2 linked regions of the Nothobranchius furzeri genome follow. The protein of the gene in region 1 binds, or shares a complex with, the protein of each later gene. Links are inferred from orthologs where the notes say so. Each region holds a gene or a part of one and is shown in the gene's direction. Other genes may lie near its edges.

Region 1 (4,373 bases):
TGGGCTGGCAGAGAAGACGAAGATGTGTGGCAGCCCAGTCCCGGGTTGACCTCGGTACACGTTGCTGAAGCGTTCGGCAGATGCGCTTTCTCAAGTTTAAATTAACTCAGAAATCAAAGACTCTGGGACGAGTCTGCGTAAGCTGGTTGCACTTCAGCTATTCTGTCTGGCTTGACAGAAATAGCGTGGGGGGGGGGGGGGGGGCAGGGCTCCTTTCCCCGTGGTGTTCGTTCCACACTTCTTCTCTCTTTCGTTCTCTGAGGCCTGGAGGACAGCAAGACCCCTGCACTGCTGTCTCCCAGGCTACTGATGGCACAGCCTTCTTCAGTAATTTAGGCAGGCTGGATGCCTAAAAGGCTCATTGCTGCCACATCAGCCAACACACTAAGCCAGCAAACCCCACCGCACACAACATGCACATCGACCACCCCCACCCCGTGTGTTATTAATATTAATTTTTATATATTACCAGTCCTGATTTTTTCAATATATTTACTTACAACTGTACCATGTTCAGTGCTTTGGGCTTCCTGACAGGGTTGCGGAAGGCACTTTATAAATAAAGCTTTGATTGATTGATTGAACTGCATTGGTATCGGTTCCTGGTATTGGTTAACTTTCACTGATACCGGTATCGGCCTGCTGCCGGTGCATCCTTAAGGTACATGTATATACACATAGGCATCTAGTGTTGTAACCTTCGACCACTAAAACCATGAATAAAAAATTAAAAAATTTGGGTTCCAAAACTATGCAGCATTCTGCAAGAGACACAGACATGCAATGGAAATCCAGTATTGCACGAGTATTGAACACATAATGAATATTGCAGTGTTATTGTGTAACAGGATAATGCCAGTAAAACTTAAACTAATGAGTTAAAGTTTGACTTGCAGAGAGCCTCAAAGGTAGGAGAAGCCAACTCTTAAAGTTTTTGCTTGACTTTAAAAAAGGCTTAAGTGTCAAAGCCGTGGTTGTTGTGTCAGAGTGGTTTGTGTCATCAAAAAGAGGATCTCTGAGGTTTCATTTGATGTGAGTAGTCCTGCTCGGTTTGTATTTTTTATTACAAATTTGTACTGGAAAAATAAATGAATGAATGATGAACAAATGAATAAATGAACGAATAAATACATTTATGTTTTACAAAGTATTGGTGTTACACTTGGAAATTTCGGTCTTGCCATCACATAAAATAAATCCTAGATGTTTCTTTCAGGAAATTGTGAAGACATGGCTGTGTAATACATCGGCAACCCATCGACAGAAAACAAAAATAAGTTTTAAAAAGGCACGTTGATGGTGTTAAAACAAAAAGTGCATTGAAAGTAGATATTTTATTCTGAAAATCTTTACCCGGAAGTAAAAATGGATTTACCATGGGTGAGCAGTGCACTGAGCACTACAGATTAAAACGGGCTTCCAGATAGTGTTGTGATTTTACAATATTTAAAATAGTAAAGTAGTGTTTTCTTTTGAGTTTATTTTTCATGGAGAAGAAGACTTGTGTTGTGAACACTTTTCTTTCTCATCGAGGCCTTTCATGAAGCTCCTTGTTTTGACTGCAGTGAGAGCGGCTAACTACCCTGACTCTGATTCCAGGTTAGGTCCAGTGTTCTCTCAAACACCACAGCTGATTTTCGTCTTACTCATTTGAAGTGACACGGCCTGGGTGTAAATTGCAAAGATTGCTGCTACATTTAGCTGTCGACGGAAGGCTTAGCTACTTCTGAGTTTTACGCTAATGTTGAAGGTTAGAAGAGCTGGGAGGCTAACTCTAGCTGAGCCTGAATGTTCAGCCTGGATATTTTAAACGTTTGTACAAACGTAATGAACAAGCCTTTAACGTAAAATAAAGTCATAACAAAACTATTTACGAACTGTTTTGGGTAAAGTGAAAACTCGACACTGAAAATTGTCACCTGTCGATGTTAGCAATAGCTAAAGTTGTTCCTGGAACTGACTTTCAGATGTGACCGTTGCTAACCAAGTTTGGTTTTTTTCGTTAGTGTAAGGTTAAAACAGCAGGGCCGAGCTCAAATCGTGGCGGTGGCATCCAGCCACGCAACAGCCACCATAGACATTGGCCTTGTTTGAGATGAGCAGCGCCTCGCCTGGAAAACAGATAGAAGCAGACGGACGCAGCAGCTAGAAGTTGCGTTGATATGTGTCTCCCCCCCGAGATCTGTTTCTTTGGCACTCAGCAGCGAGTTTGAATCATCCACTCGCAAAAAAATGTGTCCTAACCCTTACCCTAACCATAACCCTGAAACAAGCATAAAAATTGTGCTACACATAATATTTATAATATATATATTTATGCAAAACATACATTTTTGGTGCCAGGGTGGTTATGGTTATGGTTAGGGTAAGGGTTAGGGTGAGGGTTATTTCTTGTGTTTGGTTTGTTTCCATTTGCAGCTGGGTGCAAAAGAAGCAGAAATAGAGGGGGGAACACATATCAACGTAACAGCGGCGTAGGTTGACAGTTTTCCCAACATTAAAATTCTGGTGCCTGTTAGCAACTGAAACACGTTCTCACATAATTGTGGATATCACATTGTAGACACGTGCAAATGGAGATATGACTATAATAACAAGTAAAGTTGTCAACTGTAGATTTTTATTGTGCTTATAGGAAATGTGACAAAAGAAAACAATTGACATTTCTCTTTATGGCCTGTATAGTTGTCTTCGTCAGCATACTATGATTTGCGGAATACATATGAGTGGCTTCTGCAAATCTCGTGATTTCTGTCTGTTATGGGATGTGACTATGTTCACCCTGCTAATGGTGTTTATCTGTTCAATTTAACAACATGGTCGTTCAGTGTCAACAAAAGAAACTGATGTTTCTGACTAGATTATGAACAATATTCAGATAAGCTGAGTGTGAAACCTATTTTGTTTTTGTTGTATTCTCTGTTTATGTCCATCCATAGCAGCCCGGTGTGCCCAGTAACAAACTGTCATCTCAGTGAAACTGCAAGAATTCAGCTCAGTTTATATATTTATGAGAAATTAGAGCTTCTCATCATAACTACTACACTCTTCTTCCTGCAGCGCTGGGATTAAAGTATCTTTGAATTGATGTATCACAATGCAAACTATTCAAAACACTAATATAAACAAAATATTTTATTAATATTAATTTTTATGTATTACCAGTCCTGATTCTTAATTTTATCCTGCTTTGTGGATTAAGTTTTTCATTCTGAACAGGTAGTGGGACTTGTCTAATGGAGTTGAAGGAGAAGTAAGGAGAACAAGAGGGAAGAGATGATTCCTCTCTGCGTATCATCAGTTGCTGCTTCAACATTGCTGAATAAAAACTGAAGAGAGAGCCTCATTCAGCAGAGAGTGAAGCTGTTTGTAAAGCACTAGAAATGGCTTTCTTGGACAATCCGGCCATCATTCTAGCCCACATCAGACAGTCCCACGTGACCAGCGATGATACGGGAATGTGTGAGATGGTATTAATAGACCAGGATGTGGATCTGGAGAAGTGCCAGCTCACTCTGGTGCCTGGCAGCAGCTGTGGATCTTCTGGTTCAAACTCTCTCAGTGAAAACAGCAGTGGCATGGTGGACGGTCATACGTGCGAGCTGTCTCAGTCCATGGACATCACCTCCAGCTGGGACTTTGGCATTCGTCGGCGCTCCAACACAGGTGAGCTCGTGTCCAGGCTCTGGCGTGTTTGTAGGTGTACAGTTCCTCAGAGGTTTGGAGGGGTCTAATCTGGACTAATGTGGGTTTGGTTTGTTTTGTTTAAGGAAATCATGTTATCAAAACATGTTGCTGCTGCTACAAGAATCATGATTGTCGATGTGAATTTAATTGATTGTTTTGTGGGATGTGTGGGTGTGAGGCAGGTAGAACCGTGTTTGTGTGTGTGTTCGTGTGCCCTTTGCTTCTTTTCATTTGAGGCTCCAGAACTGAGACTTGACATATCCCCTTATAAAATGTACAACACATTAGCATTACCACTATCATCATGACGTTTCTGATTGTTCAGTATGACATCACAACCTCCCTGTGTTGGTGAAGGCAACTGGACTTACTTGCTTCTTGAAGGCGTTTTGCTTCTTACCAGAGGAGCTTTGTCAATTCTGACTGGACTATGGGAGGGTCAAGCTCATAGGCCAGTGGTACTCATTAGGCGGGCTGGGTCTGTGGTTGTAGTTATAGCCACTGTTCTATGAGCATAGCAGTTGACTTCTATGACCACAGCTACTGTGCTACGGGCAGAGCACCGCACAGCCCCGGTGAACCAGTTTGAAGTACACTAAAGACATTCATTAAACATCAAATATGAAGAAAGTTTCAAATATGAACACATTTTGTAGTCATTGTACTTATAAACTGCCAAAACAATC
Region 2 (3,818 bases), on another chromosome or scaffold:
AACTCTTTTTAAAAGCTTGTAACTGGCTTTACTGGTTTTGGGTTTTAAAAAGACACCAAACAGGTTTTTAATGACTTTTCATGCTTGGCTCCTGGCCAAGCTCCTCAGTGCCAGCCACATGCAGTGTGAACAATCTCATCATGATTTCAATCAATTATTGAAACGCTGTGGCAGGTTAGCGCTCTACCATGAATTACCCAGACACCAGATAGCATCTGAAAGTATGGCAGCTCATTGGATTCGTCTGTAATTATTCCTGTTGGATCCAATTGATGGCAGCCATCTGCGTGATGGAAAAAGGGCTTTGACAGAAACCTCTCTGTAATTTGAACTCTTCTAGAAAGCAGAGTGCCCCGCTACAACTAGAAAGGGGCGATAATGAAGCTGCGTCCCGTGGCATCTTTTATGTAAACATGTCATCAGAGACATTAACACAGTCGGGGCTGAGCAATTAAAAATGTGTATCATGTTTTTCACGAATTAAAAAAGGTCAGTGAGATCATACCCAGGCCAGGAGTAAAAATCTAGCATATAAGTGAAGCATGGCTAACACTGTAAGTCCTGTTGTTGTTTTTTAAAAACCTCCTTGGTGTATTGGCCAGAATCTGGCGATATGATATATATCACTGAAAAGGGGAGATGATAAGATGACCTTTGATGTTAAAACCAGATTATATTAGTAATGTTAAAAGATGAATTTAACAGTTTATGCCACAAATCCCAATTTTGACACTTCCTGACATTTTAGTCAGCTGAATTACTTTTGGGCTGCAGTAACGGTAGTTTTCTCTAAAGCATTTTAAAAGAGATACTTAGCAACTTTTTCATATTTTTAAATCATTTTCTTGAGCCAGTATGTGCTAAAATGACCCTTTCCAGGGTTAATGAAAGGCCTAGCGCCCCCTGTGGCCAGAATATCCCACTTGCAGCTTCACAGTTGCCGGTCTGGTCTGTTGGAAAAAATGGGCGTGCATACCTGGCGCTGCAGTCTGCGTCTGTCACATTTCCTGTATTAACACAGCTGATTTGTTTAATTTAGTGATGAATCAGCACTCTAGACACTAAGGAAGGCTGGGAGGCGTTTCAGCTGTTAGATTAAGGTGTGTTTGTTTGAAAGTGGTTAATAAAGATTATTTTTAAAGTAGTACAGTCAACGACCTTGATGCGTTGTGGTCGATGACGCAATGTTCACTTTCCCAATTCGGCAATTGCTCACTTGTTTACCACACACGCAAAACCTTACTGCGCACTTCTACCAAGTGCACTTTGCTGAAGACCGTAGGGCGCAGTGTGAGTATTGGTATTTGGACCCTAGCTTGTATCAGTTAGCAACCCAAAACAGAAGCTTAACTACTCTTCAAAGTTATGAGTGTAGGTGCTAGAACTGTATGATTTTAAGATAAAGGTTGAATTGTGATTTCTATCTGAGAAATTGAGATTTCAGTTCAGTTATAATTTTCTTCCAGTCAAGGTTCAGCACATTATTCACAGTATTGTTTAATATATAATATATCATAAAATCTAATCATTAGAAAAACATCAAAAGCAATAATATTAGGCAGTTGTTATCAATATCAACCAATATTTTCTTACATCCCTATTCGACAGACTTTTGTAGATTTTGGTAGTTTATTTATTTATTTTTTGCTCTTTACGATCCCAGGATTCCTACAGAAAGCAGGTGGTGATCGATGGAGAGACGTGTCTGCTGGATATTCTGGACACGGCAGGTCAAGAGGAGTACAGCGCCATGAGAGATCAGTACATGAGGACAGGGGAGGGCTTCCTCTGTGTCTTTGCCATCAACAACTCAAAGTCTTTTGAGGACATTCACCACTATAGGTGAGTTAGGAGGAGGAACTAAAATAGTCATTGAGAGCAAACATCAACACAAGATGTAAGGAAAACCATGAAAATGTATTTTGAATCCTACTTGAATAAAAGTTTTTTGGAGTTTTTGGAACATAATCTTAAATGAAAACTATCATGTTTCATTAGAACTTTGTTAGCATAGAAACTCTGGTGATCAGTTAGATCATTCAGACTAACAAACCGTTTTATGTTGATTTAAAATCTGTTTTTGAACATTCAGAGAACAAATTAAGCGGGTGAAGGACTCTGAGGACGTCCCCATGGTGTTGGTGGGGAACAAGTGTGACCTCCCATCCCGAACGGTGGACACAAAGCAGGCTCAGGACTTAGCACGCAGCTACAACATTCCCTTTATTGAGACCTCAGCCAAAACGAGACAGGTGAGTGCCCACACAGAGCCTCCTCACTTGTCCACTGCAGGCCAAATTCATCTTTATCCTTTTAATTGATCATGTCGGAGAACGTCAGACCCCTGCTATGTTGACAGATGTCTTTGGGAGGGTTTCTTCAATTTGGCAAGAAATGTGATTGCATCACGTGGTGCTGTTGATTTGTGTCACTTTTACTATCTCTAATGGTCTTTTTATAATAACGTTGCTGGGAAATTTACCACCTAATGTGCTGAGCATCATTAAATCCTCTTTGGTTAATTGAATTTTTTATTTATGGGGGATAATGTGATCATTGCATGCTACTTTGTCATGGATATGTGAAATTAAATCATTAGGCCCACCTGCAAAGGAACCGGCGCGATAAATAATCAGCAAATCAGTTAATTTGTGTCAAGGTGTCTGCATGAAAGGACAAACTGTCGGTAATTACTTAGCGGGTTAATGATTCTGCTTACTGGTCACTGTGACTGGGGGTTGGAAGGATAGCTGTGGTGTCTCATCCAGTGCTGTGTGTGTGTGTGTGTGTGTGTGTGTGTGTGTGTGTGTGTGTGTGTGTGTGTGTGTGTGTGTGTGTGTGTGTGTGTGTGTGTGTGTGTGTGTGGTGTGTGTGGTGTGTGTGTGTGTGTGTGTGTGTGTGTGTGTGGTGTGTGTGTGGTGTGTGTGTGTGTGTGTGTGTGTGGTGTGAGCATGGCCTTAGGAAGCTAACTGGCTGATGGAGTGATCGCTAAACACATAAATTCCTGGTCCCTGACCCGGGGTGAATCACGGTGCCTTCTGGTGTGGGGGAAATTAATGCCATGGTGACTAATTTCTTGCAGCTTTGTTCACCTATCCCAGGGGTCGGCAACCTGTTCCCATCAAAGAGCCATTATTACCCGTTTCCCACAGTAAAGAAAACACTGGGAGCCACAGCAGCCGCGGCGTTGTGGGCGGGGCCTACCCTCAGACAGCAGAGAGCTGCTTTAACCAATCACAACAGGTGACAGCAGCCAGTACCGGCCGCTCGTGTACGTCAAAGTTATCTTTCATAAGACGATAATCAATAAAACGATTTATATAAAATGGATCCAGAAGTTGTAGCCCGTCTCTGCCTACAATATTTAGATATTTTTCACCCTGTTGGTGGTTTTACTGAGCAGGTGCCACTTTTGTCATACGTTTCTTTTTAAAACATGTTTAGACTGTTCAGAATACAAATCCAGGCTCTGTCACGTTCGATTGTTGTAATTAAACTTTGTAGGTGGGGAAGGTCAGGAAAGGATCCGATCATTTTGTTTTTCCCTCATTTACAGTGACGGAAATAACGGTGCAGTGCGCCGGTGCAGTGCGCCTGGCTCTTGTGATAATCAAGTTAAATTACCGTAAATTCTCTAATACAGGCCCGGGCCTGTATTTGACTCAAGCTCATCAAGCTCCAGGCCTTTATTGGAAGGAGGGCCAGAATTAGAGGCAGGCCTCTTTTTCTATTTGAGCAAAATGAACTAATGGTTCGCTGGAGTTTTTGACAATTAAAATTGCGCTCACAAAGTTAAACACATTTCTTTTAACAACGGT

Evidence for each region.
Region 2: the proteins of mapkap1 (region 1) and kras are in contact, whole or in part, in a crystal structure (PDB 7LC1), measured with the Homo sapiens proteins. The link is inferred for Nothobranchius furzeri from reciprocal best matches to the Homo sapiens genes MAPKAP1 and KRAS. Residues at the interface, in NP_001006618.1 of Homo sapiens: Phe280, His287, Gly288, Phe289, Ser290, Leu291, Ile292, Gln293, Lys307, Lys310, Arg311, Arg312, Lys313, Gly314, Ser315, Phe363, Glu365, Ile369, Val374, Met377, Leu378, Ser380, His381, Tyr484, Glu487, Ser488; in NP_001356715.1 of Homo sapiens: Ile21, His27, Val29, Glu31, Asp33, Pro34, Ile36, Glu37, Asp38, Ser39, Tyr40, Arg41, Leu56, Glu62, Glu63, Tyr64, Ser65, Ala66, Met67, Asp69, Gln70.

Annotation. Positions count from the first base shown.
Region 1 is NC_091746.1:36,982,899-36,987,271, forward strand, and holds the start of mapkap1 (target of rapamycin complex 2 subunit MAPKAP1), read left to right. Parts: upstream 1-1,384; 5' UTR 1,385-1,599; intron 1,600-3,219; 5' UTR 3,220-3,383; coding exon 3,384-3,666; intron 3,667-4,373. UniProt on the Homo sapiens protein: Component of the mechanistic target of rapamycin complex 2 (mTORC2), which transduces signals from growth factors to pathways involved in proliferation, cytoskeletal organization, lipogenesis and anabolic output.
Region 2 is NC_091744.1:73,818,921-73,822,738, forward strand, and holds part of kras (GTPase KRas), read left to right. Parts: intron 1-1,663; coding exon 1,664-1,842; intron 1,843-2,092; coding exon 2,093-2,252; intron 2,253-3,818. UniProt on the Homo sapiens protein: Ras proteins bind GDP/GTP and possess intrinsic GTPase activity. Plays an important role in the regulation of cell proliferation.